4 linked regions of the Neodiprion lecontei genome follow. The protein of the gene in region 1 binds, or shares a complex with, the protein of each later gene. Links are inferred from orthologs where the notes say so. Each region holds a gene or a part of one and is shown on either strand. Other genes may lie near its edges. The genes, in order: nuclear pore complex protein Nup107, nucleoprotein TPR, nuclear pore complex protein Nup58 and nuclear pore complex protein Nup205.

What was found.
Region 2: nuclear pore complex protein Nup107 (region 1) and nucleoprotein TPR share a complex: the UniProt entries of both Drosophila melanogaster proteins name them as parts of the nuclear pore complex. The link is inferred for Neodiprion lecontei from reciprocal best matches to the Drosophila melanogaster genes Nup107 and Mgtor.
Region 3: nuclear pore complex protein Nup107 (region 1) and nuclear pore complex protein Nup58 share a complex: the UniProt entries of both Drosophila melanogaster proteins name them as parts of the nuclear pore complex. The link is inferred for Neodiprion lecontei from reciprocal best matches to the Drosophila melanogaster genes Nup107 and Nup58.
Region 4: nuclear pore complex protein Nup107 (region 1) and nuclear pore complex protein Nup205 share a complex: the UniProt entries of both Drosophila melanogaster proteins name them as parts of the nuclear pore complex. The link is inferred for Neodiprion lecontei from reciprocal best matches to the Drosophila melanogaster genes Nup107 and Nup205.

What each region holds. Positions count from the first base shown.
Region 1 is NC_060260.1:13,190,984-13,195,879, reverse strand, and holds the start of nuclear pore complex protein Nup107, read right to left. Parts: upstream 3,036-4,896; 5' UTR 2,872-3,035; exon of another isoform or gene 2,771-2,871; intron 2,423-2,770; 5' UTR 2,417-2,422; coding exon 1,861-2,416; intron 1,042-1,860; coding exon 566-1,041; intron 139-565; coding exon 1-138. UniProt on the Drosophila melanogaster protein: Plays a role in nuclear pore complex (NPC) assembly and maintenance. Required for nuclear import of Mad. Mediates the association between the nuclear pore complex and a subset of active chromatin regions adjacent to lamin-associated domains.
Region 2 is NC_060260.1:31,011,536-31,016,529, forward strand, and holds the start of nucleoprotein TPR, read right to left. Parts: upstream 3,020-4,994; 5' UTR 2,741-3,019; coding exon 2,569-2,740; intron 2,459-2,568; coding exon 2,296-2,458; intron 2,057-2,295; coding exon 1,835-2,056; intron 1,729-1,834; coding exon 1,169-1,728; intron 961-1,168; coding exon 569-960; intron 406-568; coding exon 149-405; intron 43-148; coding exon 1-42. Other genes in the region: uncharacterized protein LOC107221997, read left to right, coding at 3,989-4,994. UniProt on the Drosophila melanogaster protein: Component of the nuclear pore complex (NPC), a complex required for the trafficking across the nuclear envelope. Functions as a scaffolding element in the nuclear phase of the NPC.
Region 3 is NC_060265.1:8,736,030-8,743,642, forward strand, and holds the start of nuclear pore complex protein Nup58, read left to right. Parts: upstream 1-1,596; 5' UTR 1,597-1,727; coding exon 1,728-1,798; intron 1,799-2,149; coding exon 2,150-2,502; intron 2,503-2,805; coding exon 2,806-3,016; intron 3,017-3,142; coding exon 3,143-3,516; intron 3,517-3,625; coding exon 3,626-3,850; intron 3,851-4,396; coding exon 4,397-4,471; coding exon of another isoform or gene 4,472-4,479; exon of another isoform or gene 4,480-4,481; intron 4,482-4,633; coding exon of another isoform or gene 4,634-4,650; exon of another isoform or gene 4,651-4,783; intron 4,784-5,264; coding exon of another isoform or gene 5,265-5,275; exon of another isoform or gene 5,276-5,297; intron 5,298-5,440; exon of another isoform or gene 5,441-6,874; coding exon 6,875-7,062; 3' UTR 7,063-7,613. UniProt on the Drosophila melanogaster protein: Component of the nuclear pore complex, a complex required for the trafficking across the nuclear membrane. Together with Nup54, required for transposable element silencing regulation in ovarian follicle cells.
Region 4 is NC_060261.1:2,748,915-2,756,512, forward strand, and holds the start of nuclear pore complex protein Nup205, read left to right. Parts: upstream 1-1,581; 5' UTR 1,582-1,719; coding exon 1,720-1,729; intron 1,730-2,008; coding exon 2,009-2,172; intron 2,173-2,256; coding exon 2,257-2,673; intron 2,674-2,743; coding exon 2,744-3,035; intron 3,036-3,132; coding exon 3,133-3,855; intron 3,856-3,939; coding exon 3,940-7,188; intron 7,189-7,272; coding exon 7,273-7,523; intron 7,524-7,598. Other genes in the region: PAN2-PAN3 deadenylation complex subunit PAN3, read right to left, coding at 701-793. UniProt on the Drosophila melanogaster protein: Plays a role in the nuclear pore complex (NPC) assembly and maintenance, but with limited role in NPC permeability. Required for specific nuclear import pathways such as Mad import.

The sequences.
Region 1 (4,896 bases):
TGGAAGTTTTGTGTTATTGAGGGGATTAGTGTAGTTTGGATCATGATGCGGTGTCCATCCTAATAGGCAGGCAGCTCGCCATGGTTGACCACAATGAACAGATAGAGACTGTGCCTTTTGCAACCGTCCACATCTTACCTATATAAACATTTTTTTCCGTTTTGACGTGCAAAGACAGACAAGATTAAGAACAAAATTGCTGAATACGAAAAAGTAATATCCTACCATGGTATTTGTTGATAGATACAATACATATTACACGCTAAGAATTATAAATAGTGCTTAAATGATTTTGTTTGATGATATTTGCAACAAATAATATGATCGTGATATACCAGAAATAATTTAAAGTTGAGAAGTGATCGAATATCATTCAAGATAAATGTTATTTGAAAGAAAAGGAATATGAAAAACCTACACGGATTCTTTAGACATTGGCACAAAGTTATCTAAAATTTTCAAATTCATAAATTTGATCACAAAAATTGGTGAAAAAAAAAAAAAATATTCTTTAAACAAAATCGAATGAGTGGTGATGATTCCTCCATAGGAGAATAATACATACCTCTAAATACATTCTTTTTTCTAATCTAACATCGTCTTCTTTGTCCAAGTCGTGTAAGGGCCTGCCTTCTCGGATCGGTGCATCAGGGTCTAAGGATGTTACTATGGGCCGAGATGATTTGAAGGTGATTCCCGTATTTAGATTTTGTAGTTGATGAAGAGTATTTTCCCATGCTACAGTTTTATCGGTAAAATGCTCCATCATTGGTAAACTATCAGCTTGATCAGATGCGTTTTTTTCCAACCAATCGACAATTAGCTGGTACTCAGTAATCGAGGGTTCATTTCTGTACAAGTTTTCAATCACATCCTTTTCTGAAATATTAGTTTTCAGTTCCATGTCTACTTTTGACTGAAAGTTTGAGGAGTTTACACGGTGTTGGTACAGACAGTACACTAAACGCCAAGTATTTCTTTCATTTTCAAGGTTGATCTCTTCCTCCGATACTTCAGTGTTTTCGACCTTTGACTGCATACCTGTTCAATATGAGAATCCTTAATAAAATTACACATTATGTCGCTAGAATTTTGAGGTAGAATCAATAAATATAATAAGTACAGGTGAAGGCTAATCTTTCAGTATCAAAGTACTTTTTAATACACTCTCAGTGCAAAAAATATCAATCACATCGCTTTTCATAGGTACTAAGGAGAAACCGAATTGGCTATTCTGCCTTTCATTGATATGACCCTTGAAAATTAATTGTGACATTATTCCTTTCTTTTGCTTTTAAACAGAGCACTACAGTTTTATGCAAATCTGAATGAAAAATGTATTCTGTTCAAATTCGTTACTTTATTTCAAGGTAAGACCTAGACATAATTTTTCGTACGCTTTACAATAATGGACAGAGCCACCAGAATTTTGGCAATTCTTTGTATTGAGTTTCAATAGATTGACAGTGTGTTTTCTTCATCAAGACGTATAAAAATAGTGATCAAGATGACAACAAATTTTTTAAACGTAACAGTAATGAAAAATACTCACTCTATCTTCCATTTGAATATTGTAATTTCAATCGATAAAGACAAGAAGTAATTGAATGGTATTTTTGAAACACTTGTTGATACTGAAACCATTTGTACCGTTAATGAATAAATGACTTTTCTCATAATTTTCATAGTATTTCAATCACCTGTTTTGTTTTGAAACTATTCTATTTTCATTTGAGATTTATAAAATTCCAGAATTTAAAAATATGTGTATAATGAACTGGAAATTATGATGACTATTTTAAAATAGAAATTACCATTACATATTTGTGTATGTCGGATAGTGAACGAATTAGTACCTACCCCGCATTATCTCTAATGTATCTGTGCAAGTCTGTATGAAATCTGCAATGGTTTCAAATACTTGGGGTGTAGCCCTGTGTGCCTGAACACTTTCAAGGAATTCATGGAATAGTTTAGCATTCGCTTCACGCCAGGGTTCGTTAGCTTTCAATACTAAGCCTGTGGCAGTCGAATCATCCATCAGCTCTCTTAGAGTAAGGTCAGTCTTTTCTGTCGTATTCATGATATCCCTAAGTTCATGTGGTGCCATTGTAATAGATGTATCAAAGTCCTCAGTGTCATATTTATCAAATGACTTCGAATGTAAGTATGACCTCCGCATTCGTGGGTTTTTAGCCTCGGATGGAAACGACCTAGATTCATCACTAAAATTTCTGGGAACATTTTCAATGGAATCCGAGCTTCTCTCGAGATTGAAATTCGGTTGCAATGATATTCGTTTAGGCGTTGTGCTCTTAGTTGCTAATCGCAGCAACGAAGTTCTCTGTGTTCTACCCGAGCCCAGCAACTGGATTGAATGGTCGAGGTTGTCTGCAGTTTTTTGCAACGGCTCCATCTTGATCTGATGTAATAATTACAATGATTAAATAATAATCCAAGTGGTCACAGCATTCTATTGAGTGAAAAACGATGAAAGCGAGGGCAATAACATAGCTAATAGTGAATACTTCTGAACTAGTAAAGTAACTAATGAATGTAATATGTGCCGGGAAAGTAATTTTTCTTAAAGTTTGAGATTACGGTGGATATTAGCGGAAAATGCAACGTTTGCCGATGATTTTTGATGACAGGTAGTTCAGCACTTAGAAAGAACTACTGTTTCGTCACACGAAATTCAATTTATATCGATAACCAATAAAAAGAACTCGCGATTCCGTAATAGATGCATGCATGTAATTTGACTGCTAACCGTAAGATTAATACGAGTATCAGGTTAATTCATTTTTCCCAGTGTTGCAATTTGCAAGTATGCACGGACTCAACACAATAAGAATTCAAAACTTGTTGCACCTTGTCAATATTTTCAGAATACAAATTTGGACAAGAATTTTGATAACTGAAACAACGTAGGTTAGCACAGTACGGAATTGCTGCCGGTTACTATGCAATATGTACAAATTGGCGGGCCAGTCTTCACGTGGTGTACGGATCAAAGCCTTTAGGTAATTTTGTACCAACTGTTCAAAGAAATTTCTATATTGTTAGCACGAGTCTTCAGGAAGAAATCTCTAGTTTTCGTGGCGAGCTTTATGACAAGCATAGAGAGAATAAGGCCGTGTTTGAAAATTGACTGACAGTCCTGTCAGCAATCTTTCATCTCTTTTGCGCTTGCAAGTTCACGAATGGCTCTGACTCTGTCCTAGGGAATTTTCAGTACTGTCAGTCAATTTACGAACACGGCCTAAGTGGGCAAGATGTAGGGGTTGGCATAAGTTGAGAGACTTGCCGATAAAAAGAGAAAAAACATCAAGATACAAGTATACGTCCCCGCTTGCCTTATTGCTATTGGTCTTTGTCACTCTATTCGGTGACTTGATGGGCGAAATATATAGATTCGACAGTCATGCATTTCGGTATTGTCGAAAGTACTAATAGATCCTAGAAATCTCCCGATTCAGCATAAAAAAATCGTACTCAACAAAGTTTTTTTGTAGTACGATAGGATGCTAGTTCCATCAAAACCTGATAGGGCTGAGTTCAGAAACCTTACTCGAGTGACTCGTATCGTTATGTCTTTGTTTAATCTCATGTGTTAAAGACAATATGATATCCGAGTTTACTCGGGTAAAGTTTCTGAACTCAGCCCAGGAATGCCTTTATCTAGTAACTTCTGTTCGTCCGTTATTTCGTGGGCCGCCGTTGTCATGGGAAGATATTCAAATATCCAACCAAAGTGGTGTGACGTCAAACGGCAATTCCCGAAATTTCCAGCAGCTAGTCACTAGAATTCGTTGACGAAAATATAGCTAGACGCACAATTAGTAGTTTCGGGTCGCCAGATACCGATTGAGTATTAAAATGCACTGGGCAACTCGATTCAAACCGCCCACTTCAAATAAATCGGATTTTATTTTTAATAGGTGAATAATAATGGTGTGCACTTACCTTAGAGCATTACTGTACATTCTCTAAGGCACATAATACTAAAATGTCGAACTCCGCTAAAGTATTTCTCTGCAATGCTGAGGTGTTTCTCTGCTGAGATATTACTCCGTTTCGATGGGGACGCGAGAGGCAATAGGAGTTTAAAAGCAACTAATTTAATATAATTAGAATTACATGAAATATATTTTAATGGGTTTATTGTCTCAATAGACCGTTTACAGAATACCAAAACCTGAATAATAATTATTTAAGAGTTAAGGTGGGAAAAAGCGCTGCTTGTCTGGCCAGAACTAAGTTCTAAAAATTGGAATATCGTATTAGTGATATAGAATAGTAATTAGGAATAAAATATACGTACATTCCGATCAGATGGTACAGTGGGCGTGGAGTAAAGAATTTCCAGCCACACCTAACTCCATGTGAGTGCGGGTATATGCTCTAAGATGCGGGTGGATTTTCACGCGCAGCATGCTCTGATTGGTCAGTTTACCAAAATCACTATTTGGTGACGTCTCATCACTGATATATATATATTAGTTCGTCTCATACTTGGTGATTTTGGTGAATTAACCAATCAGCACATGCTGTATCGAGAGAGACCTCTGTATCCAAGTGTTGCCGCACGTGAAATCCACCCAGTGACTTAAGGAGTGAGCATGTCAAGCGTGGGCAGGGGAAGGGGAATCAAGCATGCACGTACAAGTTTTTCCTTTAATTCCGAAAGAGAAGACAGCGAATCGTAATTACCAGAGTCAGTTTTGTTCTTATCGTAAATGGCGCTATTATTTATTCCAAGCCCTGAACCCCAGCACGAGGCCAACGCTGCAGAAGTAGGCCTGCACAGAATGAAGTTCATATTTTCCACCATTTTGCCTACAACCTAGCATACACTAGCGGCATCTATCACCCTACTTCGACATTCTTTTCGAC
Region 2 (4,994 bases), about 18 Mb from region 1:
CGGTCCTGCGCCGCTTGCATGTCAGATAGTTGTTCTACATACCTGAAATGAGACAATATTTACTTTCGTATACCATTAAATGGGTTCCTTACGTCAAATTACACAGTGGGGTGTAATACATCATTGACTTGCTGTGAAAGTAATGTACCTATCAAGTTTTTCTTTCATCTCCCCAGAATTAATTTCATCAGTTGCCTTTTCAATTTCTTCTTGTCTTGCAGATAATGTTCTGACAATTGATAACAATTTTTGATTGTTTTCCTGTAATTCTTCAATATCTCTAAAGGTAACCAACTTTTTGCTGATAATTTGAGAAGATGCTAGGTCGTCAGACTCCATTATTGTGGAAGAGAGGACTGTCGAACCTCCACGACTCTCCTGGACTTCTTTAAGAAGGAAACAGACCTGGAATGATGAAAAATAACTCTACTAACATGATCATACGACTGTACAGGTATTCCTATGAGATATTTGTCACATGATAATTTTTTTTTTTTTTTGTACTGAGTAGTGTTTGAGACATAACAAATGTAAATGAAGAAATCTAAATTAAAATATATAGAAATACCTGTCTAGCAAGATCCGCAAGCTCTGTCTTTAGCCGTTTATTTTCCCGAACATGGTGGTTAGCAATGCGCGAAGCCTCATCTGCAGATTCTTGCAAACGATGATTTTCAGCAAGAAGGTCATCAAGACGCGAAGTGAGCATTGTAACATTGGCAACTGCGGCTTCGTAATCGTCACGCTGTTGTTGCAGTACCGGTGCCTTATCTTCAAGTTCACGGAGTATTATATTCATTTGTGACTTTAATCGCTCATTTTCTTCTTTCTCAATTGCCAGTTCGTTGGTAGCATCAACCAATTGGGTATAAATTTGGGTCAGGCTGGAGCCTTTTTTCAACAGCCTACTTGCTACTGCTGCTGTTGGAGCCAGTTGCTCCACTGCGTGGTCTAACATTTCTATGGAGCACATAGTAAATAATTAAGTCAAAACGTTCTTAGCATGCTTACCTTTAATATATCATATGGATGTCTGGTAATTCATCGAGCAACTTTCATGGATTAAGCTGATCAAGAAAAAGTATTCAAAAGTATGATCTAAACGCAATTGTTTTCACATCTAGCCTTAAATTTGATCGAAATTAGATATCCAACTTTAAAACTATACCTTGTTTGGCGTCCTTCAGTAAATCATTCGCTCGTTCCAGCTCTTTTACAAGCTCCTCGATTTTTTGTGACTTTTCAGCGACCTCTTCATCAATTCGTATTTGTAGATCATTGTGCTGTGTTTCAAGCACACCGTACTGCTCTGTGGCTTGTTCAAGCAGGGATTGTAGTTCTTTAACAGCTGAACTAAATTCTTCAGCCTTGGCATTAGCTTCATCTGCCATTCCCTTATAAAGATCAGCTAGTCTAGTTTGAGCGTTAACTTCCTCACGATAAGAAGCATGCATTGAAAGCTCATGAGCTCTTTGTTCTTCTAATTTTTGTGCCATTTCATCACAGCGTTTGATGATGAGGGAATTTCCTTCGCGGAGTTTACTAATCTCATCATTAGCTATTCGCAGTTCTTCCTCACGCTGTGAAAGTTGGGTTTCTGTCAACAGTGATCTCTTGGACGATTCAGTACGAACATTTTGCAGTTCTCCAGTGCGCCTTGATAGCTCTTCTTCTAAATTGGCCATCTGTTGAGATAAAAGGGTTCGCTCTTTCTCCAGACGCTGTTCCCTGTGAATAAATGTATTTACAAATTTCCAACAAGGATTTATATTTCTCTGTTAGAATACTTGAAACCTATGGATAACTTGAGTTAACAAATACAATATCTACTGACTTGTAATCTAAAGACATCTCGCGACTGCGGATCTCTTCAGTGTCAGCCAGAGCCTGACATTTGGCAGTCACCGCTGTCTGCAGCTGAGTACTGAGCATTTGCAGCTCGGCATGTGTACGCTCAAGTTCTGCATCTCGACGTTCAACCTGTAGTTGTAATGCATCTCTTTCATCTGTGGCTACATCCCGTTGACGTCTCAGCTCTCCGTTATCCTTTTCTAATCTATATAAAATGGATCAGTAACAGAATACTAAAATTTAGATGCGAAATATCTATTGTTTCAAAGGAATTCGAAGTCAATTAATTTGTTAGGCAACTCGTTATAGCCATTTTCTTTCACAGAAAAAACAACATATGCACATATATGTACTACCTGGAATTTAAGAAATGAATTGCCTGATCGTACATTTCTTGAAATGTAAACCTAGAGCTAGGAAGAAGCACACTAAAGATATTTGTACCTTCTAAGTGATTCTTGTAATCTTGTTGCTTCAGACCTAGTTTCATCAACTTTGGTTTGAAGTTCATTTGTATATTTGTTGGCCAGTTCCAGTTTGCCTTTACATTCTTCCAAATCCAGTTTCTGCTCATTGTAATCCTTTTGTAGAGTCTCTAATTTTTGTTCTGGCAGATGAAGAAAGCAAAATTGGATGGTTAAACAGACATCAGTGAACAGTTTGAAGGGAGTTTTGAAACGGTAAATATCGGAGGCAGAAAAGTAACGCTAATCTTACCGAGATTTTTTCTGGCAGTCTCAAAAACAGCTTTAGCAGTGATAAATTCTTCGAACCGTTCATCGAAATACGATTTCAACTTTTCGCTGACACCCTTTGGAATATGTGTAAGTTCTTCTTCATTCAATATGCTGCCTAGCACGTTGTGTGGGTTTTCTTCTATTGTTTCCATATCGTTTTTGCCGATAATTCACAAATTTTAATATGTATCCGCGTCTCTTTTTCGTGCAGATTCTACAATCTTCACCGGCGTTTGCGGTTGTCGGTTGATTTGTGAAGAAAATGGTGCCAGATATACAGATTTAGGATTATTACCAACTTAAAATCATCGGCCGTCACGGTAGCATAACGGTGGGTAAAAGTAAAAAGTAACGTTATTGGTTAGTTCGTTGAGAACAGGTCTGACATTGGTCGACTTCCGTAATTATGCAGCCAGTGCTACCGTGATTGCTGCAGTCTTAGACCATATACTACTGGAGTTAGCTACCCATGCCGTCAAACTCGCAAATACTATGGCCGTGGCGATGAGAGAGCGCGACATATATCCACGTGTTACCCTGGATACTCCGTTTCTCTCACTCTGCATTTGATTGGCTGAGAGGAAACGCATTGGCCAACCAGGTTGTGAAGCGAGGGAGATAGGTAGTACATGGCATTGATAAACTATCTCACTCTCTCACTATACTTTCAGTACACGCGAGGCTACCTTGAGTAGTATATGCTATAAGGCTGCAGTTCACAAACAACTGTATCTCGAAGTAAAGGAAAAGATCAATGCTAGATGAGCATAAGCTACTCAAAAGCTACTGATAACAGGATACCAATTTTGAGTTTCACTCGCTCTATCAGATTGTAGGGTAGCCCTTCCATAGCCTCATTCTGCACGGATTTTCATCGCTGACAGCAATTTTCAGGTTAGGTATATACGCAATCGGAATTATACATTCCCGGGTTTTTTCGAGTCTGGGTAAGCAGCGGGAGATCGATGTCGCTGTCTGTCGTCCAGCCAACAGTTGGCGTTCCCGATAAGTTCTGTTAGGGGTTCTGTGCTCCGAAAACTACCGACCACGTGGATTAATACGTTGTCAATTGCGCCGCAGGTAATGCGGAAAATGTTTTTAAATATGGATACACATGTCGGAATAAAATTGTTAATTCATCGCCAATGTTATCTTTAATGATACTTTATTAAATTCCAGCACTTTACAGTTGCATTTCATTTCTAATATTCCGAGCAGACTGCTTGTTTAACCTCGAATAATGTGTAACAGGATTGAAGTAGCGTGCTATTTCGTTTCGATTTTTCTACCTTGACGACTATTATTTAAAAATTGGTTATGTCGTTACAAGTTGATATGAATTATATGTAATTTCAGGTACCCTTCGGCTGTGTTGTTTCTTTGCTTGAAGATTATCCAACATGACTAGATTTACCAGAGCCAAGGGCTCCAAAGCATCCAATGAACGTGTTCCTGATGAGGCTACACCATGGAGTATAATGAAAATGCAGCTTGAAGACAGTCAAACTGCATCCAAAGCTGTCACGAAAAAGCCAAAAACTGCTACTGAGTTACTTGCAGAGAAGGATAACCGATTATATTATGATACATTTGGGAATGTGAATCATGAATGGGCAGCATTTGACAACGTTCCAGAGTTACAATCCAAGAAAAATAAAATTGACAAATTACACGATATCAAAGGCAGCAAAAACAATAAAAATCAGAAGGCTGTTGAGGTACAGGGCTTAAATGATAACTCTTTTAAAGATCAAGTTCTTGCAATTCCAGTGAAAATAAAAAACAAAAAGCAGAGTAACATTCAAGCTAGTAGTGATGAGATCAAAAATTCTAGTACTACTGGTCAAGTTAAACCAAAATCAGCTAAGAAAAAAAAACTTAATGTAACTGGAAACGAAACAGAAATGGCTGCAAAGATAACTGATATGTCAAAAAGTTCAGACATAAAGAACAAAGCTATCAATTCAACTCCTGGTGATACTCTGCTAGAGGCCAAGTCTAATTCTGTTGCGGTAGAAGACCTGTGTTCGAAATATAAGCAATGTAAGAAATGGAAAAAGAAATCCAAGAAAGCGAACCCTGATTCTGATATTGGTCAAGCGGCAATCGATTTGTTGCAGCAAAATCAGAAAGCTGAGTTATTGAACAGTGATTGTGCAGTGAAAGATAGCATTACTGAAGCCCAGGAAGAAGGATGTTCAGAAAAGTTGAGTAAACGCCAAAAAAGAAATAAAAAAAAACAGAAGAAAATAACTAGCACCAATCTTGAGAACCAAAATCAAGCTACTACTGTAGACACACAGAAGAATCATAGTGCTGAAGGCTTTGATGTACAAGGAAATGAATGGAGTAATCAGGTCAAATTTGGAACACCAGCAGTCCATTGTTCACATAGGCCTACGTCTA
Region 3 (7,613 bases), on another chromosome or scaffold:
AACAAACTGTAAATTGCGGAAGTTATTTATTTAGTTATTTATTTTTGTTTTTGTTGGTTTCAGTGAAAAATGGTTCCTACAAAAGTTTTCCATCGTATTGCCTTTTATAAAATTAGTCCTATACAAAAATAATGTATCATTGTTAGTTTACTTGAAAAATCCTGACAAGCACTGGGATCGGCCGTTTTGTTTATTGCTATTAATTCGGTGAATTTTCAATTCCATGTCCCGAAACTCACCCGACGTGTAGAACAATCTTTTCTCGAATTTTTCATCCAAAGTTTACCCGGCTACGCTGCCTAGTTGAGCAACAATAAACGGTCCACGTAAATCCGCACTTCTTCGATAACTTTTGTCAGATTATTTCTACCATGTGGAAAAAAATAGTCGGGATAATTTTCAATGCCTACTTTCAAAGTGTAACAGGGAAAAAGTAATTTTTGTCAACAAAGAAAGTTTTTTATAGATTTAAAATTCTAGCTCGTAAAAAAGTGTGAGCAATTTCATTCATTTTCAAATTACTCTAGATATTTTTCAAGACTCCGGTGACTTTTTCCAAAACGCGTAATTGAAATAAAAAGTTTCAATAAGTTAATTAGAACCCGAGATATGGACATTACCTTTTATTCATTTAATAATTTGCTAATTACTATGTTCGATCGGTTCAAGTTTGAGAATATTTGTCACTTCTTCAGGTATTACAATAAATATTTTTTTAAGTTTCCACAAAATTAATCCCATTGCAAGCAACAAGTTTTAAAAATTGTCCTAGAAATTAAATTTTGTTTTTGTTACAGCATAGTTTTTTCTCACCAAACCGAAAATTGGTGGGTTCGATTATTTGCTCACTAACTATAAAAAGGGGTTGTTAGTGACATGATAATAGTGGGAAAAGGGTGACGTGACAAATTTCAATTGGTTATCATCAATCATATATTTCATATTTTTTTAAAATGTTATTCAAAGTAGGTAGTAAAGCAATAACAGCTACTTGAATAGCTGCCGGTTTGCCAGAACCCGGCACGCGGTATTCAAGTAATATAAATGGATTTTGAAAATGTCCATATAATGAAATGATACGATTATTTCGAATGAATACTAAACTAAACGAATTCCGTGTTGCTTATTTTAATCACTTCGTGTATAAATATAAGATTGAAATTTTTTTGTAAGCTTCGTATTTGATGGTCCTCAGGGAGCTACGGCTCTAGGATCAATTAAAACTTTTTATCTATCCTTCGATCTAAACTGAGGCAGGCTGATTCATTCGAAAATGTTGTTAAGTGTTTAAATTTACCGCTTGTTAGCAACACATAACGAAATTGGAAGCAACAAGTCGAATCATCAAGTTTGTATGCATGAGGTAGCATACCAGCACTGGCATTCGTGACTGGGAAACAGCAATCTCAATACATTTTGTCTCGCTCCCTCCGCGCTTTGATTGGCCGAAGTAGGGCGCACAGCCAATCGCAGCGCAGAGCGACAGAGACAGAATGTACTTGTATTGCCTTGACCCCGTGACACGTGCAACCATTGGGATGCTATCTCCATGCGTACATATAAGCTCGATGGTTCAAATTGGCGGCAACGAACAGCGACATCGTGCGACACGCGGGCGACCTTAATCCTTGAGAAGTGAAGTTTCAAGCCATGTCTTGAATGTAATGTTTTGCCGAGACGTAGTATAGATATTTTTAAATATTAGATTGAAAACACTCGCAAGAAGCATGTCGAAATTTGGGTTTGGCACTCCTGCTACCGGAACCACGACAACAACCTTTGGATTTGGTAATCAAAAGTAAGTCTTGTCATCTGACAGCGAACACTCCCTCAAACTTGGCGGTAATCATCCTAACCTCAAAACTCTCATTCTCGTGAAAGATGAATAACTTTCGCGGATCACTGCGGTGATCCAATTAAAACTTATCATTGTATCATCTACTTTAATTTTCTTCAATACTTCATTGTGTGTCATAACTTGAATGCAATTAGGAATACGTTAGCTACTAGTAATGCTTTCCGAAAACAAGTTCAAGACTAGCAATTACTGATATTCGCAGTCAATACTTGTAACGCAAATTATCGATTCTATTCCCAATTCTATTACCCTCTGAGACAAACGATTAACGTATCTCAATCCTATTTTCAGACCAGCTCCAGCGTTTTCAACAGTCACACCGTCGTTCGCAGCGACGTCAGCTGCAACTGGTGGCTTATCCTTTAGTACAGCCATATCTGGAACATCAACGACTCCGAACTTTGGATTCGGTAGCACAGCCGGTACTTCGACCACTTCGCAAGCCTCGAGGCCTTTCGGCTCTGGAGGAACAGCCATAACAAGTGTATCTTCAGGTTTATTTTCAACTCCGATTGTCTCGGCAGCCCCGACTGGCGGTCTCAGTTTTGGTACACCCGCTGCTACGACAGGACTGAATTTTGGTACTAGTGTTGGCACTCAACCTACCAACACTTTAAACTTTGGTACCACTACAACCACGGGTTGTTAGTATTGTTCTCTTGAGTATTTTTAGATTATAGCAATGTTAGGAATAACATAAGGGAATGATTCACTGTAATGCTTCTTGCTGATCAAAATTTATCTCCAACTGGCTTATTACCTTACTGAGCTTTGTAGTAGTTCTCATAAGTAGAAACTCTACCAGGCAAGTCAATTTTTCTTCTATAAACTTACTTGCGTTACAAAGTTTCGCTTTGCCAAACGTGTAATTTTTTAGAAAAATTCAACCACGCTTTGCAGTAATGAGTCCTGCCTAATATTTTATCGAACGATTTCTTTACTTTCAGCATCTCTTTTTGGTGCTGCACCTGTCGGGGGTTTGTTTGGTGCCAAACCTGTGAACTCAGCCGCCCTAACGGCAACTACTAATATCCAGGGCCTTGGTGGCGTTGATGTTTCTGCCAACAAACTAGGTTTAACTCAAGGAAGTAGTAGCCCAACAGCAGCTAAGGAAAACCTCATACCCAATGAACTTACACAGACTATTGAAAACTTCAAGTAAGTAATCATGGCATAACAATGAAGTTCAATTTGGAAGACGTTTATTAGCTTTTTTGTCAAATTGGAGTAATAAAGACTTTTTTTTTATCATCTTTGTAACGTATCACCCTGAATTTTCACCAGAATATTTATCAAGACCCAGAAGTCATTCACTTCGGACATAGCTCGGGGTTCCGTTAGACCTTTAAATCGCTGCGCCGAAGACACAGCGTCGTTGATGGAACTCCTAACAACTCTCGCTGGTTCGGTACAGCGGGATCGTTCCTTGGCAGACAAATTGAAACAGGACACAGCAAAAGCTTTACAAAATGCAGAAATTGCACAACGAACACACGATACACCAGCAGGACTGCAATATGAGAACAATGCGCCATTGCTGTTCTTTATGGAACTTGCCGATACTTTTGAACAGGATTTATTATTATTCAGATCTCAGATAGAATCCACTGAAAAACATATACATACCATGGTGACACCAAAGACGTTAACTCCACAGGGTGAGTTTACCTTTCTTATTCTCACTTTCATACATCATATTTACAAAGCTCAATTTCTTATACATGTTTTCACATCATCAATCAGACTGACCACATTTTTTGATCCTAGAACTAACAATGGCGATGAGCAAGCTTCACGAATCATTAATAGCAGTCGCGGGAAAGTTGCAAGGTGTACACGCTAAAGTTCAACATCAAAAAGAACAATATCTCAATTTGAGGAAATACGTTTTAAAAGATAGTTCTAACGTATTTGAAGACAGCAAGTTAAACGAAAAAATGAGCAGGATCAGCTCTGGAAAAATCAACAGTGGTCCTACTCCATTTGGTCCAGGTAGGCTAGACAATTCCATAGGCTAATTTGTACGAATGAAGTTTGTCTTCAGGCAATAAAATATATAATAGTAACTAATAATAAAATACATTTGTTGAACCAGCCTTCGAAGTTTACCTCATTGATCTTCTTCCATAACATTTTGAATTATTGTTTGTCAGATAGCTGTTTTAAACGGGTACAGAACTGAAGGGATTATGATAATATTTAATTGTTTATTTTCAATACTTACTAAAGTGATTCCTGTTCACCTTTAACTTACATGTCATTTTAAACCATTCAAATACTCTGGTATACTCTGTACCTGTGAAGATGAAATTTTCGGAATGGCAATCGTGGGTGTTATAAACAGGAACTCTTAATTTGCAAGAATTCTTCCACGTTGTGAATAAATTATTACTTTCGAGCGATTTTTGAAGATGCATGAGTCTCAACTTCATAAGCGATACGTTTTTGAAAACATCGACGTATCTGATTGAGTTGAATTCGTCTCACTTATCCTCGAATGATGATAAATTTGCGATATTGTAAAATTTTTTATTCTAGGAAACAAAAGTTTTTTATCCTCAACAAACCTAAATACCAGCAGACCACCAAACTATGGAACAGCGAACCCTTTAGGTAAATAGTGGTAAGATGAACCTTTAGAAATACTGTGTAATTTATTGGATTTTTTTTTCTATTTTACATTTGTATAAATTTATATCCTCTTCTTCACTTTACTCACGTATTTTTCGATTAGTCACGTATATAAAATACCCCATAAACGTATCCTATATTTAGGTCTTGCAGGGATTTAGTATGAGGTAGAAATTATTACCAATATCAAAAAGTTGACGGAGAATAGATGGATGTAGTAAATTGACGCTATAGCAAACTTTAAATTTTGTTGTAAAAATTAAACATGTAATCTGCTCGTCTTCTATTTCGTGCCATGATTGCACAACGAAATATATATCGTTGAATGCGCATAAATTAAAATTGCTATGAAATATTGACGCACAAATTTTCTGAAAGCATAGGTATAGTATTAATTTTCCAACGCACCATTTGCCATTCTGCACTGCAAGCTTTCCTCAGATTTTGAACTTTGACACAAATAACAATTATCAAACAAAAAAATAGTCATAAAATTCACCAAGACTTTGTACAATTATTCTTTGCTACCAAAATATGAATTCATATACGTTATTACTGTGCACGTTGCGTTTATATACTGATTTAACAAAACCAGAGCAACTACACAACTCTGCTACATCCGTTTGCTCTATAGCTTCATTAATTTGACTCCTTTGTTTTCGTTACATAGCAGTTATTCATTCAAGTGTGATATCGTTGATTGACAATTTTACACTGTAGCTATCACTAAATATATTTATTATCTGTTTGATTTGTATTTATTTTGCCTTTACAGGAAAAAAGTAGTGGCTGTTTATTAGTATTTGAGGTATAGCATTTGTTTTTTATTTTCATTATTATATAGTGTTTTGTGTTCGGGGAACCTAGAGGGATTTTTCTTCAAGTAGCATAAATTATCATCACTCTTCATTTTAATTACTTATGTTGCTAATATCAAATTTTTTCAAAAGCTTGAATGTAACGGTATTAATTTTTCTATTTGAAGGGACAGTACAGCTTGAATAGCTTTTACCTTACTAAAAACCTTGCATGGAAAATAACTACATGCTTTTACTTCATGCTTTAGATGCTACTATTACAGATATTATTGAATAAAAATTGGTCACCTTATTTGTAATTTGTACATCACATTTGATCTGAAACTGTATAATGACTGAAGACAAATTACAGACAAGATTTGGTAAAGAAACAAAATTATAAATTGGCAAAGGACCTCTATTCAGTTCGTTTCAATGCTTATGTAAATTACATATACACTCGCTTTCGACTCTGTTATTTAAAAAGTAACGAGACACTTATAATCTTATTGACAGTTGCGAATTCCCTTGAATATGACTAGTGACAGTGGAATACTTTCATATGAAACTACCAAATGTGTCAGATTTTTCAAAATAATTTTGAAACATGCACGAGTTTTTCACTTTTTTATTAACGATAATCGCCAGTGAACCACAAACATACTATCTTGCAGTTCATTAGTGGTTATTCTTGCTAAAATCGAATATTCTTGCGAAAATTCATATGTCGATCAATAGATTTTTGAAAAATCTAATATTCCGTAGATCCCTCGTGAGTTGTGAAGGGGAAAAAAACAGCCGATTCACAGACAAAGACGCGGAATGATTGCATCATTTAATATGGGATGACTTTATGACGGAAATGCTTTAGGAAAGTCTTTTTGTTTTAATTCGAACAGTAAACCTTCTTGCATCCATTATAAAGAATATGCTTATCATGAACAACATATTGTTGTATTAATTTTTTATTCACTCATTCTTATGCATAGTTATATAACTCTTGTCTTTGCAATGGTGATTAAAAATTAGATTTCATTAATTCCCTATGTCAAATTCATCTGAAATTGCTTTGGCTTTAGGTGAACAGGCTTATGCTTGGACAAGAAAAATGCATGATTCTAACAATGTACTGTTAGGATTCTCCCGAGCACACCTAGATATATTTAAATATTACCCATTTGATTTTGTGCTTTGTAAAATTTTTGTTTTGTTTTTTCAACTAAGGGGGTCTGTAATTTTTTTTTAAATCAATATAACCGGATATTTATCTAGGCTGCTTTTCTTTTATGGAACACAAATCAATACAGAAATATAATAATGCAATGTGCTTCGTAAAAGTAATGTTAAGTCGTTTTAAGTAAGGGGGATTGTACTTATTTTAAATCGAGTAATGGGATACCTATGGAGGCTGCCTTTCTTTTATGGAACACAAATCAATACAGAAATGTAATAATGGTTTTAATATATACGCTGACATTTTTTTTCTTATTTTCGGAGAGCTTAAAAGGTAGTTTACTGCCCTCAAGGTGTGTGTAAATTTAATTTTGTAATACTTTCTAGAGGCGATGTAATAATGAAATTGTTTCAGCTTGGGGTAATGCAACGTCATTACAAACAGCCAGTAGTATTTCAGTTGGTGCGTCTGCCAAACCACCAGCAACAGGTTTGAGTTTTAACACACCGTCAAACTTGGCAACTTCTCTATCAGCAACAGACTCCAACTTCAGTTTTCAACTTCAAAAACCACCAACTGGTAACAAGAGACATAAGCATTAAAGTTGATGAAAAAAAAATCTAAGTGTATTTTGGTATTACATTCGTCGCATAAAATCCAGATGAAACGATTGTATACTGGAAAATATTGTTTCATGGATTTTTATCCCGAGAAATTGGATGTAATAAGGGGTATTACAGTATTGGAAGGACCAAACGTGTGCTCGGTATGAGTACCTGTCTAAAAGTCAAAAATATGTAAAATCATGAATCTTAGTGATATTCGAAGAAAAAAAAAATCGAAACTAATTTATTTGTCATTTTTTTAGTCGAAAAATCTGTAATTAAATCCCAAACATAATCAAAGTGGACTTACGAAGAAACAAATTCCATACTTTCATATTTACGATTCGAATTGGGCAAATGTATTTTTAATGAGAAGCAAACTCGCATGAATGCCGAGGGTCATAAGGGAATCTGTGAATAATAGTTGTTTTCGTATCTTTTTGTACACTTAATTTTCTTAGAAGACAAAGTCTTATCATGTCAAGAGTTTTGTTTTGCGAGTAATGTAAGTGCGTAATAAGACTTGTTTTACGCACATTTCATTTGCT
Region 4 (7,598 bases), on another chromosome or scaffold:
ACAGTGCTGCTTCTATTTTTTTCCAATATGTTCGACTTGTAAACCCTGAAAATGAACGGTGATCATTAGAACAAGTTTGTCTACTTTGTGACTTAATTAATCGTTGAATAAAAAAAACCAAACGAATCTGTTCAGAACGGTGCAGAAAGAGAAATATAAAAACATGCAAATTTGTTTTATATTCAGTAATTGTTGCGCGTAAAGGTGAGACGATTAAAGGTACAGTAGTAGAACCTGTGTTATCGAAAACATCGATGCTTGAATTTAACATAAGGCAACAGTGAAAGTTGATGGTTTTCCTGAAAATAGAATATCGTTCAGGGTAGAAAAAGCATTAATAAATGGAATTTGTATTCTATTGAAGTTAAGGAAAAGTAAGAAAAAAGAATATAAATCACAGAACTTTTGAACCTAGTGTGTAATTCTAGCCTTCGCTATATCAGACTAGAGACAACAACATGGAGAATATGTACACAAGTGTGTGATATACTTGTTGCCTCTAAAAATTGAGGGGGGTCAAGAAAATGCAGCAGGATTTGATTCGAACAATGTAGTAATAAACTAACAATGAAGCAGCTGATTTTGACAATGCACACACAGAATCGCGACAAAAGTGGTTAATTTTGGTTTTCAACAACGTTAAAAAAAAGTTCGTCTTTTTACGAAAAAAAATTGTAAAAGTTTAAACATAACTGAGCACCTCAAAAACGCGACGCGAGGCGAAAATTTTTTCCAAAATGTAGAACCGAAGTCTATAAAAACATCGAAGATATGGTGGACCAACATAACCCATCCGAGTTGTCAGTGACGTCGCGTCTGAGGACGGCGCGAAAATAAAACAGACGCTCCAGACGCTTTGCGACGGACGGCGTTTGGGTTATTAAAAAAAACAAATAAATGAGATTCTTTCAAGCTTAGATTAATATACTTTAGTACTGACCGTTCAAAACATTTTTCCTTCCCGCAGACAAAGGTGAAAGCGTACTCCGTGATACCGATCTCACTGTGTTTTTATGCTACACTTGTCTACACTCACGGACAACTTGCTGCTCTTACTTCGATCGCAGCTGTCCTTCCGGAAGTCGTGCTTCGCATACGTATATACTTTATTTTTCGAAATACAATTTAGACCTCGGCCATTTCCGGTATCTTTTATCAAATTTTATATTCAACCACGAGCTTGTCGATCGTTATTTTTCATTTTGGAAATTTAAAATCGAACGAATCATCGTTTTTGATTGCGTGGAGCTGATAAATCGTTGCATTTATCGCCTATTATTCGCATTGACGAGTCTCGGAACACATCGAGTAATGACGTTTTTTCGTCGAGTGGCCAACGAAAATAGCAACATAAATCAAAAAAGCGCTACAAATATATATTTGGTTGAAGTTTGGCGCATTTTTTTGTTATAAATTTGATCCAAACTGCATTTAGCGATCGGATTGAGTAACGTAGTGGTGAAATCCAATGACGCTTGGACCCAACCGAGTTCCATTGATGAAGAAGGTTCTTTTTTTTTTAAGTGGGTGGCATTGATCAATTATTTACCTTTTTTAAGTTGGCGACCACTGCTCGCTCGCGACCATGTATCATGAACGCAGCCATGTTCACGCGGTTTTACAAATCAGCGCCAACCGCCAATTCACGAATGAGTGTTTGTCTCTTTCTTCAGTGATTGTTGAATTTGACCTTCTGAGTTTAGTTTAAATAGCGCAAGGATGACTGAAGGTAGGTCTGCGTATGCGTCTAACTTATTCTACATTAATTACTGGAACTCTTCTCCCGGTTGTAACGTGACATAACCTAGTTTTACCCAACTTCATCACCGGTACAAATGCAACAACGTTTATGATCAATTGTCTGTCAAAATACGTGGTTGTATTTACCTTCATATTTTGTATGCTTGTTCAGTGATACAATTCACGTTTCGGTTGATAATTCGTTTTAGCGTGAATTTGAATTTTCCTAGGTTAAGTTTTGTCACATCGACACCATTTACTATTACAGAAAAGACAAGTACGGAGGACATGTGGACTCCTTACAAGGAACTCCAGAGTCTCGTCGATCAATATATTACCTCTGCACCCAGTTCCCACGATCCACAATACCATGAATTTATGGAAGCGCTTCGCAATCACCGACAGAATTTTCTAAATCTCCTAAGCAATCCTGTAAGCATAATATTTCAACATGTAGTAGCTGCGACTTGGAGACCTTGATTGCCATGTGCTAAGTTTATCATATCCTCATTCTAGGCAAAGAATGCAAAGAGTCGTGAGGAAATTAAAAATGCAGTGACGGAGGGTATAACTCTGCCTGGACTAGGTCACCAGGTTTTGTCCAAAGAATTGGTTGACGAGACAATTATATTATCCGACATGTACGAACTAAATGAATTTATGGCTCTTGACTTACTCTGTACTGCTCAACTTCAAATGCCGCATCATCCTGGATTGACACGAGGCCTAACTGCTGTCCTTCTGTACTATGACGGGAAGAAAGCTCTCACCTCAACATTGAGGACTTTGGTTCAAGCCAGAAATGGTCATACTTGGGTTCTCGACACACCCGTTACGCTTACCAAGCAAATTACGGAGTATACCAACAAAATGCAGGAAGACGGCCTGCTGGACAGGATCCTGAACCTTTTGGAGGATATGGATCCGACGAAGGTAAAAAATTTGTATTTGGTAATAGCACAAGATTTAACTTGGCGCTATTATAAGTAGATTCTTCTTTTAGGAACAAGAACTGTTGCAGCAAAACAGAGGCTTAGGAGGAGCCAAGCATCATCACATGGTCATGCGTCTTTATAACGGTGCCAGGCAGGATCTTGCCGATATTTTATACCTTTGGTCAGCTCAGTCAGCTTTGCCCAGTCACATCACTCACAGACTTTTGTCGTTACTTCACAATCGTCATCCGGAGGCTGAGGATGGGACTGGTGGCCCTGATAAAGTCACGTTGGCATTGATTATGGCTTTGCTCAATTCTATAAATCTCAGCTCACTTCACACCAGAGAGGACGGTGAAAGTATGTCTACGATAATAAGTAGCCTTATCCAGATAATTGCATATTATTCCTTGACTGTCGAACGATGATTTACTTTCTTTTTTTTTTCAAATTTCAGCAATTGTTAAAGCAATGCCGCTTATTGACGATCCTGACATGTTGCCACAGCTCGTAACCGAGCTAACTTCTGGTAATGTAAATTGGGAAAGTGCCGGACTTCGTGGTTTGATTCAGTTTGCGCTAGCTATTGCCATAGCAACTATAAAATCTGCACCCAATCTGTGTCCTACACAAAATATCACCGAAGAGGATGAAATTTTGGTGGAAGCTGCTCTGGCAAACAAGGCTTTTCATTTTTTGGCTGAAGTTCTACTTCAAAGCTCTCACATCCACAATGAGGAATTCTATGTTCGTTACATTCACACACTCATCTCTGATTTTATACTACTCATGCCTTTGAAGGTGAAAGAGTTGAGAAATAGAGCCGACGAATCAATGCGTATCGTTCAAGCCTATCAACAAGAAGGCATCGAACCTCCCATGAACCTTGACAACCATTTTGAGTACCTCATGCTGTCTGTCGCTGAACTGTACAAAAAGGATCCCCTCAATTTGAACCTTGCAATGGATTATTGGTGTCAACATTCCGACTCCTCTCATATGCCGAGCACTTTGCATGCGAGCCGATTACCTCCAAGGCAAGTTGCTCTGTTCAAATTTGTCAGAGTCGCCGGAGAAGTATTGCCCAGCGGGCTATTTGGACCCTACCTAAGAATGCTAGCATCACTTGCTTCTTCCCTACCAGCGGCTAGGCAAGCATTCAACTTTCTGAAACTTAATGGTAAGCTGTACGGCTTGATAACTTGATTTGAAAGTCTATTAATAAGAGGTAATCTTGTGTTATTACTGCATTTAATTTTTTCAGGACCTTCGGGGGCAACGACCATTTCCTGGGATCATTTCTTCAACTCCTTGAGTCGCTACTATTTTAATTTGCGACAAGAACTCCCACCTTCACAAGACACGGTATACCGTCAAAGAAATCATCCCAAAGGTATCACACCTCACGAGGTCAAAGGCTTGGAAGCTGTGCTTCTAGTCGTTCGGGTTGTTGCTTACTACGATGAAGTTTCTCGAATAGCGATATGCGAGCATCCAGGCTGGAACGTCTTGCCTTCTATTATTGGTTTGGTGGGCTGTGCTATGCCGATTCCATTAAAAGGTGCGTTAGTCAGAACGCTCGCAGCTCTGGCAAAATCTCCGGAGAGTTCATCTACCATATGGCAAAGTTTGGAAGCTGCGCAAATACTGAGTACCGTACCAACGACCAGCAGCTACCAACCGAGAGGAATTCAAACGGAATTAGAAGAAATTGAATCTAGAAACGAGGAATTTCCTTTGACCAGAGCAATGTTGGAGCTTCTAGATGTCCTTACTGATTTTCCGATACCTCGACTTCTGGGTGTTGGCCTAAGAAATCCAGGCTTCGATCCGTACTTACATTTCATAATAAATTCCGTATTTTTGCGGTTCAACACACGGTCGTATAAAAATCCTGGGGAAAAGTGGGACGTGTCCGATGCCTGTCTGAAAATATTCATTAAATTGATAACACAGTATGAGCCAACTATCGAAGACTTTATCGGATGTAAAATAGAACTACAAGGCGGTGAATCGACTGTCGTCAATCCTCCTCCTGGACACCATTTGATAACGTTGCTACACTCAAATTCCGAGTTTCTACACGTCATTCTGCTCATACTTGACGAAGGATGCCATCTTTTGGATACTTACGACGATTTTCCTGGTAAAACAAGCCTCGAAAGCAGCACTTTGCACTGTTTGCAGATATTGGAGCATGGATTGGCAGCCCAATATCATTACATGGTTCAATTGGCTGCAGCCAGCTCAACCAACAGAATTTTAACAGGGCTATCCCGCCTTTTGCTAGGTGTAAATCCTCGCACGGGAAAACCAGACCACATGATTAACATCGTTAAATACATATCCTACAACTCATGGCTCACTCAACACGCCTTTGTGTCAGTTGGCATTGTTCAAGGCGTCGCCAACGAACCTGGAGCAGATTCAGAGTTACTTTCTACATTCACGTCTACTCCTTCGTTGGCAACGACGATCAGGCATGGTTTCGTAGAGTGTCTGGATTCTGACGAAAACTTTGAGTCTGAGGAAGAAATTGGGAATGAAAAACGAAGCGGTAATTGCAAGGGCAGGATTTTGTCCCTCTTGATGCAGAGCATAACACGCCCTGCGCCTAACATAGCTCATTACCTACTTGGATTCGACATCACTAAGGACATAAGAAAAACTGCAATTCAACAACCTGGAATACTAGGCTTTCCGAGGACTTGTCTGCACTCTATACTCGGGATATTGGAATTATCGTTGGAGCGTGGCCGTGACAAGATTACAGAGGCTTGCTACTGGTTCCTTCACATACTGGCTTCAAATAACAAAACCTCTGTTTCCGTACTTCGGTTCCTTCGGACAGCCACCAATCAAGATTTCGTACAACGTCATCTTTCCAAGCTGCCATTCCAGGGAGCGAACAGAGCGACTGAGCTTGCCTGCATGTCCTGGCTGCTAAAAATATCGGCAATTGAATTGCGCGTCGCTGGTGGCAGCCTTCAGAACTCCCTGATTCAAAGACTAGTCGGCAATCTAATCCATGACAGAGATCAAATTGTGCCATCCCAAAAACTCCTGATGGATCTACTTCACTATATCGATTTCCAGTTAAATCTAGATCCTCCAAAGTCCTGGGAATACTTTGATCCGTCTCAAATTGAAATGGTGTTGGGACGCTGCAGCATTCCAGTTCCACTTGGTGGAAGTCCCCAGCTTATAGATATCAGAAAACTTCACAATCTTATAACAGAAGAATTGGCTGGTACGCAAACTAGCGCAACTGCGACTCAGCGTAAGCTTGTGCAACAGGAGCTGCAATCTATCCTTGCATACGCCTTGAAACGAAATCAAACGAAAACCCTTTCTTACGCTACTGTGAAGTTCGTCGAGGGCTGGTGTCAAACAACTGAAATTTTATTCTCTGTCGCAACGAACCAGCAACTTCCCGCTGCTCAGAGGCAAAATCTTCTGCTAAATTTGTCACATGATTTACTGCAGAAGATGACGTCTTGCGAAGCTTTGAACGAAATCAAAACACTTGTATCTGGAACCGTGCTCGTACTACTAGTAAACCTTCGTAATAGCTTCTCCATGCAATCTGACGATGAGCTGCTACCGTCTTCCGCTGCAAATACAACAATGATGAAGATTATCCTTAGTCATATTCTTCAATGGATCTTAAATTCTGGTGTATCCTCACAAAAAGTTCGAACCCATCTTTATGGGGCACTTCTCAATTTCCTCTGTGTAGTCAGTTTGGAAAGATCGGAAGTTGTGACCAACATGGATTCCATGTATGTTAGTCAGTTAGATAGTTCGTATTATAGAAGTACGCCGCTACAGGAGCGTTCGCATCGATATGCGACGATACAAGTGATCAGTAGTTACGGTAACAAGTTGATGGATATATTGTCCCACGATTGTTCCGGTGGACACGACGTCTGTAAAATGCTGTCATTATCGTGCCTCGACAAAATTTTAGAATTCGATTGCAGCAATACGTGGGTCACATATCTGGCTAGCAGAGGGTACCTTAAACACATGGTAGACAGTCTTCTGGATTCTGACAATTTATTGCGAACAATGCTTCAACCAGATCCACTCACTCTGCGGCCCCTGTATTTATACGAATCAAAAATGGCAACGCTCTGCAGAATGGCGTCGACCAGACTGGGTGCCGAATGTCTTCTGGAAAATAAAGTCCTATCTTGCTTATCAAGCATGTGTGTTTTCGATCAGCATCCTGACGTAAATGTGGGCTTTGAAGGTGGAGATATATCCTTTGTGCCTTCCATAGGTCAGCGGTATCAGCAAATCTTTTTACCTGCACTTTATTTGTGCGATGCTTTGCTGACTACCCTTGGAACGGAAAATCAGTCTTGTGCCATACAAGTTTGCGGATTTTTACAGAGTCATCGAGATACCGTTGAAATGGTTTTACGGAATGCATCACCTCATTCTAATGTTCTGTTCCTCAAAGAAGTCGCCAGTCTCACCGGGGTCATCGCAAGGTCTGCCAACATTGGTAGGCATCTCTCATTCAATTGATTTTTTCATGATTTTATTTCTATTTTATTCTATGCAAATATTTAATTCTCTTCTTTTTCAGACATGTATAAACTTGTTGACGAGGAATTGGCCAGAGCCAACTCTAACGAACACAAATCTGAAGATAGTACAGGCATGAGAGAATTGCGAGCCCATCTTTATAGGCTCCAACGTTTGATGCTCTCCATGGTCTCCAGATTTCAGCCACAACTGCCTCCCGTCGTACCTCTACATCAACAAATGGAAGCTACCCAACAACATTCGTGCGCAATACAAATTGCTGCCAACGTTATGCTGTACACTCGTAATCAAGTATGTCAAACTTACCGACGCAACTCATTTACATTGATTGAAGATTGAACTGTGTTCAAAATTCTGATTTTCTTT